Linked DNA regions of Caenorhabditis elegans. The protein of the gene in region 1 purifies or fractionates together with the protein of each later gene. This does not show direct contact. Each region holds a gene or a part of one and is shown on either strand. Other genes may lie near its edges.

The links. Proteins that work in one complex are often made in the same cells at the same time.
Region 2: the proteins of T24D1.3 (region 1) and mog-5 fractionate together in Caenorhabditis elegans (co-fractionation; one large-scale study listed by BioGRID). This does not show direct contact.

What each region holds. Positions count from the first base shown.
Region 1 is NC_003279.8:9,958,276-9,961,874, reverse strand, and holds T24D1.3 (RING-type domain-containing protein), read left to right. Parts: upstream 1-1,779; 5' UTR 1,780-1,790; coding exon 1,791-1,876; intron 1,877-1,923; coding exon 1,924-2,730; intron 2,731-2,777; coding exon 2,778-2,934; 3' UTR 2,935-3,093; downstream 3,094-3,599. Other genes in the region: algn-10 (Dol-P-Glc:Glc(2)Man(9)GlcNAc(2)-PP-Dol alpha-1,2-glucosyltransferase), read left to right, coding at 18-122, 171-346, 395-513, 557-1,376; har-2 (RING-type domain-containing protein), read left to right, coding at 3,530-3,599.
Region 2 is NC_003280.10:5,397,792-5,405,557, forward strand, and holds the start of mog-5 (putative pre-mRNA-splicing factor ATP-dependent RNA helicase mog-5), read left to right. Parts: upstream 1-1,746; 5' UTR 1,747-1,747; coding exon 1,748-1,918; intron 1,919-2,102; coding exon 2,103-2,360; intron 2,361-2,411; coding exon 2,412-3,186; intron 3,187-4,447; coding exon 4,448-5,790; intron 5,791-6,530; coding exon 6,531-7,400; intron 7,401-7,649; coding exon 7,650-7,766. Other genes in the region: fbxl-3 (Putative RNA-binding protein EEED8.10), read right to left, coding at 1-83, 132-213, 271-371, 425-546, 599-699, 756-880, 1,029-1,091.

The DNA.
Region 1 (3,599 bases):
AATTTTCTCAAGTTTAGGCGATTTTCTACTTGGTGCTTCGTTTTCTTGCATTCACGTTCTGCTGACAACAATTGTCTACCACTATGTTCCAGAGCCGTATATGGATGAGATCTTCCACATTAGTGAGACACAATTGTCGAGATTCTGTCTACAATTTCCCTAATTTTCAGCTCAAACTAGATCATATTGCTCAGGAAATTACAGCTGGAATCCATTAATTACAACTCCACCGGCACTTTATGTTATTTCAATGCCATTATGTGGTGGAAATGAAAGATACGCTAACTCGATTCTTCTATTTTTCGCTATACCAGCATTTTGCCGTTTTCGGAGAATGTTCGTTAGAGTAAGAATTCCAACTTTGAAGATTTATTTGAAAAATACCGATTTGCAGCAAGATGTATGGCTGACTGCATCAATCGTCGGAATGCTTCCAATTTTGATATCGTCTTCAATTCTTTTTTATACCGATTTGTTGTCACTCACTTCAGTTATTTGGGGATTTTCGATCGGGTAAATCAATGCATCTATTGAAAATAATGATGTGATATTTCAGAAACCCAATTGCATCTGCGTTCTTATTCCTAATCTCAATACTGACACGCCAGACAAATATCATTTGGGCAGCGATATACGCGTTCTCTGTAATTGCTTCAAGAATTGACAAGTCCCGCTCAAAAATGGAAAATCTTAAGATCATAATTTCAACTGCATTTTCTCTATGGCCATTCATTACACTTGCAATTGGATTTGCGATGTTTATATATTTCAATGATTTCCAAATTGTCCTTGGAGATGCAAAAGCTCACCAACCAAAGTTCCACGTGGCTCAATTTTTCTACATGGTTGCATTCTGCGCGGCTCACACTTGGACTCAAATCATCCCAAATCTGTTATCTCACCTTCGACACCTAACCGACATGAAATCATTAGTTCTACAAGCAGTTGTGGCAGTTCTTGTCTACTACTATTCTTATGATCACCCGTATCTTCTCGCTGATAATCGGCATTTCACATTCTACATCTGGAGGCGATTCTTGGCAAATCCCACAATGCGGACAACTCTTGCTCCTCTCTACGTGTTTTCTTTAAGATTTATGACGACATCGACACCGTCCGTGCATATATTCCACAAAATTCTATTTATAATCGCATCTTTACTCGTTTTGGTTCCAGCTCATCTATTCGAAATGCGATATTATATTATTCCTTATGTTCTCTGGAGACTTTCGACTGTAAATAACTCTAGAAAATCACTTCTCTTCTTGGAAATTATATCTCAAGCTGTGATTTTTGCGGCAGTTTTTGTTTTATTCTTATTTAAAACGTTCGAATGGTCCAACGAACCTGGCGTCAAGCAACGGTTCATGTTCTAGGATTTTACAGTTATCTATTTGATTTTCTTGTTTTTCTTACGGGGTTTTTTAATAAAAAATAATTAATTTATTTTCTATGGAATTATTCTTATTGAGAACGAATTTGTTCAGAAATTGCAACAAAAAAACGAAAAAGAAATAAAAATTTCTCGAATACAGTAACCACATTAGATGAGTCGTGGGTCTCGCAGCGATTACCAAGTTTGCCCTTTTCGTTTCATGAAATTTCATGTTTTGTTCTATTTTTCTCGCGCCTTAGTTTCGCATTTTTACAGATTCTAAAAACATTTTCAATTGAGAAACCGTCATTTTTTTTTCATTTAAATCATTCTTAATGCTTTCTAGACTTTCTGTTTCAAGCGCAGCTTAAGATTTTGAAAGCAATTATTCTCTTCTCTTCCAGACTCAAACGGAATGCCATCACCAGCACGCAGGTCTCGGCGACGGCGTTCATCGTTGTTGAACTTTTCGTTCTCAGAAGTCGATTTGGAACAACAAAGGTTTGACTGTGAATAGTATTCCTATTCGGTACCTGATTATTTTACAGGCGAGCGTTAGAGATGTTTGAGCAGCAGATGAACGATCAAGCTTTTGCACAACTTATTCATGATCACGATGTCCAACATATAAATAATGATGCAAATCAAGTCCCGGCAGCGCCCAACACACCGCCAGTTCCAGTACCTCCGCCAGTTCAGCAACCACAAGCATCGCCCAATGCGAGCCCGGTTTCCGTTTTGAGACGTCGGAGATATGCAAACCCTGAACAGGAGAGATTTGGAGATATTAGCCGACGCATACATAATCCTGCAAATCAAATCCCGGCAGCACCCAATACACAGCCAGAGGTACCTCCTACTGTTCAGCAACCAGAATCATCTTCTCAAGAGCGTGCATCACCCACATCGCCAGAGATTACGATTTTTTCTACAGGATTGTTGGGCTTGAGACGTCGGAGTTCTGCAAGAATCTCAATCAGAATGTCAGCGACTGCTCAAACCAATCTACCGATTACACCGATTCGTAGAAGAAGGGGTCGAGCAGTTTCTCCCATCCTTGAAATCGAGTTTGAAAACCTTTCAAGTAGCAGTAGTGGAACCAGCGGTGACTCGGGAAATCATTCGTCACCAACGAACACTAACGATCAATCATTTATTGGCGATGATGCGAGAACATATGACCAGGAGCACGTTCCCATAGACTTTGAAGGGCCGAGCACATCTACCGGAATCACAGATCGACATCCCAGACGACGCAATCAAGACGGCTCCCACGGAGAGTGTACAATGTGCTTCGAGGTTCCGGTTTCGCCGCTTGGATGCAACAATTGTCTACAGATTATTGGATGTGAAGAGTAATTGTAGCAGTTTTTGTCGACATTAACATAAATATAATTTTCAGATGTGTCGATATTTGGTATCGCAGTTCGTCCAAACCATCGTGCCCGCTTTGTCGTCGAAAATGGGCAAGAAAGCCGGACGTATCGAAGATGTCTGTGATTTCTGTGAGAAAACAGTCTTCTCTTCGTCGATCCAAGCGCCGAATAACTTCCAAATAATTTGTAAATTCCCTTTAACTCATATTGTTTTGTGCCATATAACTCACCTATATTGCTTGTAAAATCGTTAAGATTACTATATTATCGGAGATTGCCTGTTTTTTTTTATTTGCCTATTTTTTAATCCAATCTCACAAAAAAATGAATGCATGTATATATATTTTCGAATATTGATGTCTTCTCAACTTATGTTTTAGTCATGATACTTCTAACATATTTTCTTCGTTGTTTGCGGTGATTTTTTACTGTTCCAGTTCATTAGCAAAATGTGCCGAAATATATACAATCGCTTGATTTATCTGAAAATATCTTTATTTTCAGCTGAAGTTTTGGAAAAAATGCCCAAAATAGCCTGAAATTTGATTATCGTATTGAAGAATTATCGAGCTTGTTTTTCGACAATCACCAACTTGCCGCCCATTTTGAGCAATTTTTCGAAAATATTTCAGCAGAAAAATTGTTATTTGAGATAAATCAAATGATCGTCGATATTCTGACACTTTTTTAAAGGTGTAACTATTCCTTTTTAATATTTTGTTATTTGTATTAGCATTCTCTAAAATTTCAAATTTTGATATTTCAGTCAACAAGTTGGATGGATCCAATGCGTGGATCTCGTCAACATAGGATAAAAGGTTTTCCTGAAGTTGATGTGGAAGAGCAAA
Region 2 (7,766 bases), on another chromosome or scaffold:
GCACGGGACAATGGAGTATCTTCACGACTTCCAACATCATCACTGAGCACGAGACCTTTACCTCCACGTTTTTTCGATACATACTACAAGATAAATTGGTTTAAAAATTAAATCCCAAATCAAAAACTTACAGCTGAGACAACCATAACTTGATCATAAAACTTCAACTCTTCAGGATTCGCATTTTTCGCGCGATCAGCATGCTCAGACTTTCTGCAAAAATTGTATTATTAAAAAGACCTGAACAAACCAAAAAAATTTAAATTATACTTAAAAGTAATAGTAGCAGTTCCACAATTTCTGGAATGCTTTGGAAGTGTTCCGAACACTGATGTCTTTTTCTCTTCGCGAGGCAGAATGCAGCTGGTTATCTGGAAATTTAATTTTAAAATTTTATATTTAAATGATAATTAAAACAACACACTTTTCCATATTGAGAAAAGAAGGATTGAAGCTGTGATTGGGTGACTTTAGCAGAAATATTCGAAACCACGATTTTTCGATCATCACGAGAAGTATGTTGGAAAGCGATAGATGCATCGAAATCTGAAAAAAAAAACAATTATTGATTTTTTTTCCAAATTTTAAGATTTATTACCGTCTGTTTCTCCTCCATCAAATGCATCTCCATCGGCGAGTAACATTGGTAAAAGTCGTCGATATTTCATAAACTCTGCGGCAGAGTGGGACCAAGTTCGCCTGAAAATATTTTAATTTTAATTTAGAAAAAACCAGAGCTAAAATGTTGATATTACCTCAATTTTCCAATACTGAAAAACCGTGCCCTTGTGACAAATGACTGAAATGCTTCAGTCATATCATGAAGCCCTCGGCTCTCCAAGTTCTGTCCATGAAGCCGGCGGAGTGCTTTGAACATACTCTGAAAAATTGAAAATGTGTGAAAAAAACGTTTTTTCGAGAGAAAAGATAACAGAACCATATGATTTGATTTGGCTACTGTTCCCTAGTGTTTTCTTATCACATTAACATTTATTTGGTAGACAAAAAATCGAATTGTGTTCTCTAACCTGTTGTGATTTAGCACTTCCAGCGCTCCCGAGGTTCGATGTGAAGCTTCGATTGAAATCCATTTTTTAGGTTTAACTGTTTTCTGAAATTGAAACATTAATAATAAATTTGAAAACAATTTTGATCGATTTTCACTAGTCGTTGTTCGGAGGAGGAATGGCGCATGTTTACCAGTGAGTCGGGTTAGAGATTATACGGAAGTGAAGAGACGCAGAAAACGGGACATTCGGATGCTTGGGGACACATTGGTCACTATGAAACGTTCAAAAGCACCAATTCAAAGAAAATCTAGAAAATTTGCAGTTTTTGAACAGCTTTTAAATTTAAAATCATGCTTTAAAAGACCTTGTTTTTTGTTAACTTTGAAGGCAAAGGGTATTTGCAATAACGATTTTACATTAACACAAACTTATATATCCATTTTTGGAAATACTAAAATAAATTCAAAAAAACACAATGAAACATATTTACAAACGAAATGAAAGCCGGCAGCTTCAATAAAATAAAAAATAATTGTTGAAAAAATATAATTAAAGAAAGCTGCACACTGTGCGGCACAATTGCGAAAAAGCGGGCCGCAGTTTGCATGAAAGACCACGCCCACTATTTTAGATTTCGAATTTGTTTTTTTACTCTAATTTTCTATTGTTCGAGTTTTTCGGAATTAAAACTGCTTTAAAGAATTATTTTATTAAATTTTTTATCTGTAAATTTCAGGATGGACCAGCTTGAGCACCTCTCACTTGTGAGCAAGGTCCTCAGTGAAGTTGAGAACCATTTTGGTGTCGTCGAAAAAGATGTCGCTGAGTTTGTTATTCATTTGGCTCAAGAGAATCCAACATTTGATAAACTGAAAAAGGCTTTGGATAGTCAGGGACTTGGGGATCAGGTATGTTGAAATATGAGAAAATTTAACGACTAAATTATTTTTTTAAAGGAAATTTCAAAATTATTTTAATTCAAGGTGTTTTAAAATATTTTGATGAATATCAAATATCGAGATTTAAAAAAAACATTATTCGTCTCATAAATATAAAAGTCTCGATATTCCTCTCTTTAATTCTAAATTTCAGTTTGATGATTCCCTCACTGCGACCATACTTCGTATAGTACAAAGCATGACTGCTGTTAAAAAGAAAAACAAGAAAGGTGGTGATTCAAAAGAAGATATCAAGGATTCACACAAAATTACATTGATTTCTGATGCAAAAGAAGAAATTAAAGCACGACTTCCAGCTCTAGCGATGGCAAATACTGCGAAAGAAAAGGAAGATAATGAAGATGATCTTATGGCTCAGTTAGAAAAGATGGAAGGCCGATATGAAAGTGAGGTACGTATCTTTGATATTTGAAATTTGTTAAAATAAATTTTCCATTTACAGAAACGTCTTCAAAAGGAATCAGATTCAAAACGAAACCGTTCAAGAAGTCGATCAAGGAGTCGTGATCGAAAACGAAGAAGAAGTCGTAGTGGTGACAGGGATCGTCGGAGACGTAGTAGGAGTCGTGAAGACAGAAGAGATCGAGATAGGAGGGATCGGGACAGAGACAGAGACAGAGGACGTGGGGATCGAAGAGGAGACGACAGACAAAGAGATCGGCGTGATCGACGAGATGATGGTGGTGCTAGAAAATCCGAAGTTGCAGAAATCGGAAAAATCTACGATGGTCGTGTAAACAGTATTCAATCGTTCGGAGCTTTCATCACACTGGAAGGTTTCCGTCAAAAACAAGAAGGACTTGTTCACATCTCCCAAATTCGAAATGAACGAGTTCAAACCGTCGCAGATGTTTTGAAAAGAGGAGAAAATGTCAAAGTTAAAGTTAATAAGATTGAAAATGGAAAAATCTCGTTGTCAATGAAAGAAGTCGATCAGAATAGTGGAGAAGATTTGAATCCACGCGAGACCGACCTGAATCCGGATGCAATCGGAGTTCGTCCACGGACACCGCCAGCATCAACTTCCTCGTGGATGAATCCTGAAGCAAGTGGAGTAGGACAAGGTCCTTCGACCTCAATTGGTGGTGGAAAGGCGAGAGTTCGAATTTCGACACCTGAACGGTGGGAATTAAGACAAATGCAAGGAGCCGGAGTTCTCACAGCCACAGATATGCCTGATTTTGATGAAGAAATGGGAGTTCTAAGAAATTATGATGGTGAGTATTTTATTTATGATCTAGTAATTAATGATAAATTTGAAAAAAAAATTATTTTCTCTTGAAAATCACTAAATTATTTTTGAATTCCGCGCAAATGGTGCTTTATTTTGCTTACCGTATTTCCTCTATTAGTCTTGCACCCCTACGGGTCAATCTAAAATTAGTCTTGCAGCCTCTATTAGTATTGCATGCAAGACTAATAGAGAACATACGGTATTAGTCTTGCACCCCTATTCTTGCCAGACCAGCAGTATTTTGTGAAAACTTCAACAATTTCGCCATTTTATAGCTAAATTAAATTTTAAAGTGTTAAAATAATTGATAAAACAATAGAAAAGTATGTATTTTGCATGATTTAGACTGTTTCAAGTCAAATTTGTGACGATAAATGGCCAATTGAACAAATCTATCGGGTCTTCGAAAATTAGTCTTGCAGCCTCTAATAGTCTTGCAGTCTCTATTAGTCTTGCACCCCTACGGGTCAATCGAAAATTAGTCTTGCATGCAAGACTAATAGAGGAAATACGGTATATGATTTTTTAAAAATAATTTATATTTAAAAAAAAAACTGCAAAATTTTTTTAATTGAAAACAATTTCAATTTCTCTTGAAAATGACTAAAAATGATGTTTTACAGACATTTTTCCTTAAAAATTGACAGTAATTTATCGTTTTTAAGCCGATTTTTTATTTTCAACAAAATTTAAATTTGGTTTTCTTTACTGAAAAATGCCAAAGTATGACAAAAGATGCATCGGAGAATAAATATCGAATTTAGCCTGAAAAATGCGAATACTTTACAATTACGGCAATAATTTTCCCGGGAATTCAAATAAAATTAAAAATTAAGCAAGATTGAAAAAAAAACATGAAAAAAATGATGGTATAAAATTTATGATTTAATAATTTATCAAGAAAAATTGTAAAATTTTTTGAATTAAAACAAATTAATTTTTCCTGAAAATGACTAAATTGTTTTTGAATTCGCGCACGCAGACATTTTTCCTCAAAAATCGACACTAATTTATCGTTTTTAAGACGATTTTTTAGTTTCAACAGACAAGCCAAAATATGACAAAAGTTGCATATATCAAAGGAAAAATTTCGAATTTAGCAGGAAAATGCGAAAAATTACAAGGAAATGATTTTCCCGATAATTCAAAGACAATTTTTAAAAAAGCTAAATTTAAAAAAAAATCATTAAATATTTAAAATAAAGTTTCTATCATTTAAAGCACAACAATTTTTCAATTTTCAGATGAAAGTGATGGCGAGGATATTGAAATCGAGCTTGTCGAAGACGAACCTGACTTTTTACGTGGATATGGAAAAGGCGGTGCAGAAATAGAACCTGTAAAAGTTGTCAAAAATCCGGATGGTTCATTAGCTCAAGCAGCTTTAATGCAAGGTGCTCTTTCAAAAGAACGAAAAGAAACGAAAATTCAAGCACAACGAGAGCGTGATATGGATACACAGAAAGGATTCAGTTCAAATGCTCGAATTCTTGATCCTATGTCTGGAAATCAGTCGACTGCGTGGAGTGCTGATGAGTCAAAGGATCGGAATAATAAAATGAAAGAAATGCCAGAATGGTTGAAACATGTGACAGCTGGTGGAAAAGCGACTTATGGAAGAAGAACCAATTTGAGTATGGTTGAGCAGAGAGAAAGTCTTCCGATCTTTGCGTTGAAAAAGAATCTGATGGAAGCAATGATTGATAATCAAATTCTTGTCGTTGTTGGAGAAACTGGATCAGGAAAGACTACTCAGATGACACAATATGCAATTGAAGCTGGACTTGGAAGACGTGGTAAAATTGGATGTACCCAGCCTCGTCGTGTTGCAGCAATGTCCGTAGCAAAGCGTGTGGCAGAAGAGTACGGTTGTAAGCTGGGAACTGATGTTGGATATACAATTCGTTTCGAAGATTGTACAAGTCAAGATACTATTATCAAGTACATGACGGATGGTATGCTTCTGAGAGAATGTCTTATTGATCCTGATCTTTCTGGATATTCGTTGATTATGCTTGATGAGGCTCACGAACGTACAATTCATACGGATGTCTTGTTTGGATTATTGAAAGCTGCTGCTAGAAAACGTCCGGAACTGAAGCTGATTATCACTAGTGCCACCTTGGATTCAGTTAAATTTTCAGAGTATTTCCTGGAAGCTCCGATCTTTACAATTCCTGGAAGAACATTCCCCGTTGAGATCCTGTACACAAGAGAACCAGAATCAGATTACCTTGAAGCTGCACATATTACTGTAATGCAAATTCATTTGACTGAGCCACCTGGTGATGTTCTTGTGTTTTTGACTGGACAAGAAGAAATTGATACATCGTGTGAAGTTTTATATGAACGAATGAAATCAATGGGACCTGATGTGCCGGAGCTGATTATTCTTCCTGTCTACGGAGCTCTTCCAAGTGAAATGCAAACAAGAATCTTTGATCCAGCTCCTGCCGGAAAGCGAAAAGTTGTTATTGCTACGAATATTGCCGAAACTTCTTTGACAATTGATGGAATTTTCTATGTCGTTGATCCAGGATTTGTGAAACAGAAGATTTACAATCCGAAAAGTGGAATGGATTCCTTGGTAAGCATTTATGCACCCGTCAGGGATTTCACGAAAAAATTCGACCAAAAAACAAGACAAAAAACGAAAAAAAAATTTCAAAAAACACGAAAAGCGGCTAAAAAAACGAAAAAAAAAATCAATTTTTACCAGAAAGTTCAAAAACCAGGAGAACAAGTTTTTTCGAAGACGAAAAACGAAAAAATAATATTTTGCCAAAAACAAAAAAAACTCGGATTTCTTTTTAAAAAAAACTTTTTTTTTTTGGTTTTTGTCTTAAAAAAAACGAAGAAAAAAATCCATTTTTACCAGAGAGACCAAAAACAAGAAAAAAAATTTTGTTCGAAGCGAAACAATTTATTTCGCCAAAAACAGGAAAAAACTGAAATTTTATATTTTTGAAATGTTTGAAACGAAAATTCTTATTATTTCAAGAATAAATATTTGTAGAGTTATATTTAATTTTGAGTGTAATGTTTTGTGAAAAAAAGTGGAATAAATATTTTTTCGCCTTTTTTTAACAAATTTTTTTTCGAAAAAGTGAATCATACATTTTTCGCCTTTTTTCATAAATTTTGATTCGAAAAAAAAGTGAAAAAAAAATGTTTTCACCAGAAACTGAAAATGATGCAATAAAATTCAATATTGTTTGCAATTAGACGAATTAAAATTATTAGCTACTCAAAATAAGATAATTTTTTTCGAGATATTAAAAAACAATTTTCTGATAAATAAGAACGAAAATACAATATAAATTTCAGGTTGTCACCCCAATCTCACAAGCCGCAGCAAAGCAACGATCAGGACGTGCAGGACGTACGGGACCTGGAAAATGCTATCGTCTCTACACAGAACGTGCATTCCGTGATGAGATGCTTCCGACACCTGTTCCAGAAATTCAGCGAACAAATTTGGCGTCAACACTTCTTCAGCTTAAAGCTATGGGAATCAATAATTTGATTGATTTTGATTTCATGGATGCTCCACCTCTGGATTCAATGATTACTGCTCTCAATACACTTCACACGCTTTCAGCACTTGATGGAGATGGTCTTCTCACGAAACTTGGTCGTCGAATGGCTGAATTTCCATTGGAACCATCACTTTCCAAATTGTTGATCATGTCTGTCGATCTGGGATGCTCAGAAGAAGTTCTTACGATTGTGGCAATGCTCAATGTGCAAAACATTTTCTATCGACCTAAAGAAAAACAGGATCATGCTGACCAGAAGAAGGCGAAATTCCATCAACCAGAAGGAGATCATTTGACACTTCTAGCGGTTTACAATTCATGGAAAAACCATCATTTCTCACAACCATGGTGTTTCGAAAATTTCATTCAAGTGAGAAGTATGAAGAGAGCTCAGGACATTCGTAAGCAATTACTCGGAATCATGGATCGTCATAAACTTCTGATGGTCAGTTGTGGACGGGATGTATCGAGAGTTCAGAAGGCTATTTGCTCTGGATTCTTCCGAAATGCTGCAAAACGTGATCCACAGGAAGGATATCGAACATTGACTGATGGACAGAATGTTTATATTCATCCATCATCAGCATGTTTCCAACAACAACCAGAATGGGTTGTATATCATGAACTCGTCATGACAACTAAGGAATATATGAGAGAAGTAAGTTTATTTCAATTTTATATACGGAAAAGTACTGTAGGCGGAAAACACAAAAATGTCGAAACTAGGCCATTATGCTCCCTTTTGAAATATTTTCAAAATTTGAAAAAAAAATACAAAGTTTAGAGAAATTATATACATTTTTAAAATTCATATTTGGCATATGGAGACTTTATTCTTTCATTTAGGGCCAAAAACTATTTAAGTCTAAATAAGAAATTAAATAAAAACCTAATTTTCAATTTCCAGGTCACCGCAATCGATCCAAAATGGCTTGTTGAATTTGCACCGTCATTCTTCAAAATCGGAGATTCTACCAAATTATCAACATTCAAACGAAACCAGAAAATCGATCCGTTGTTCGAC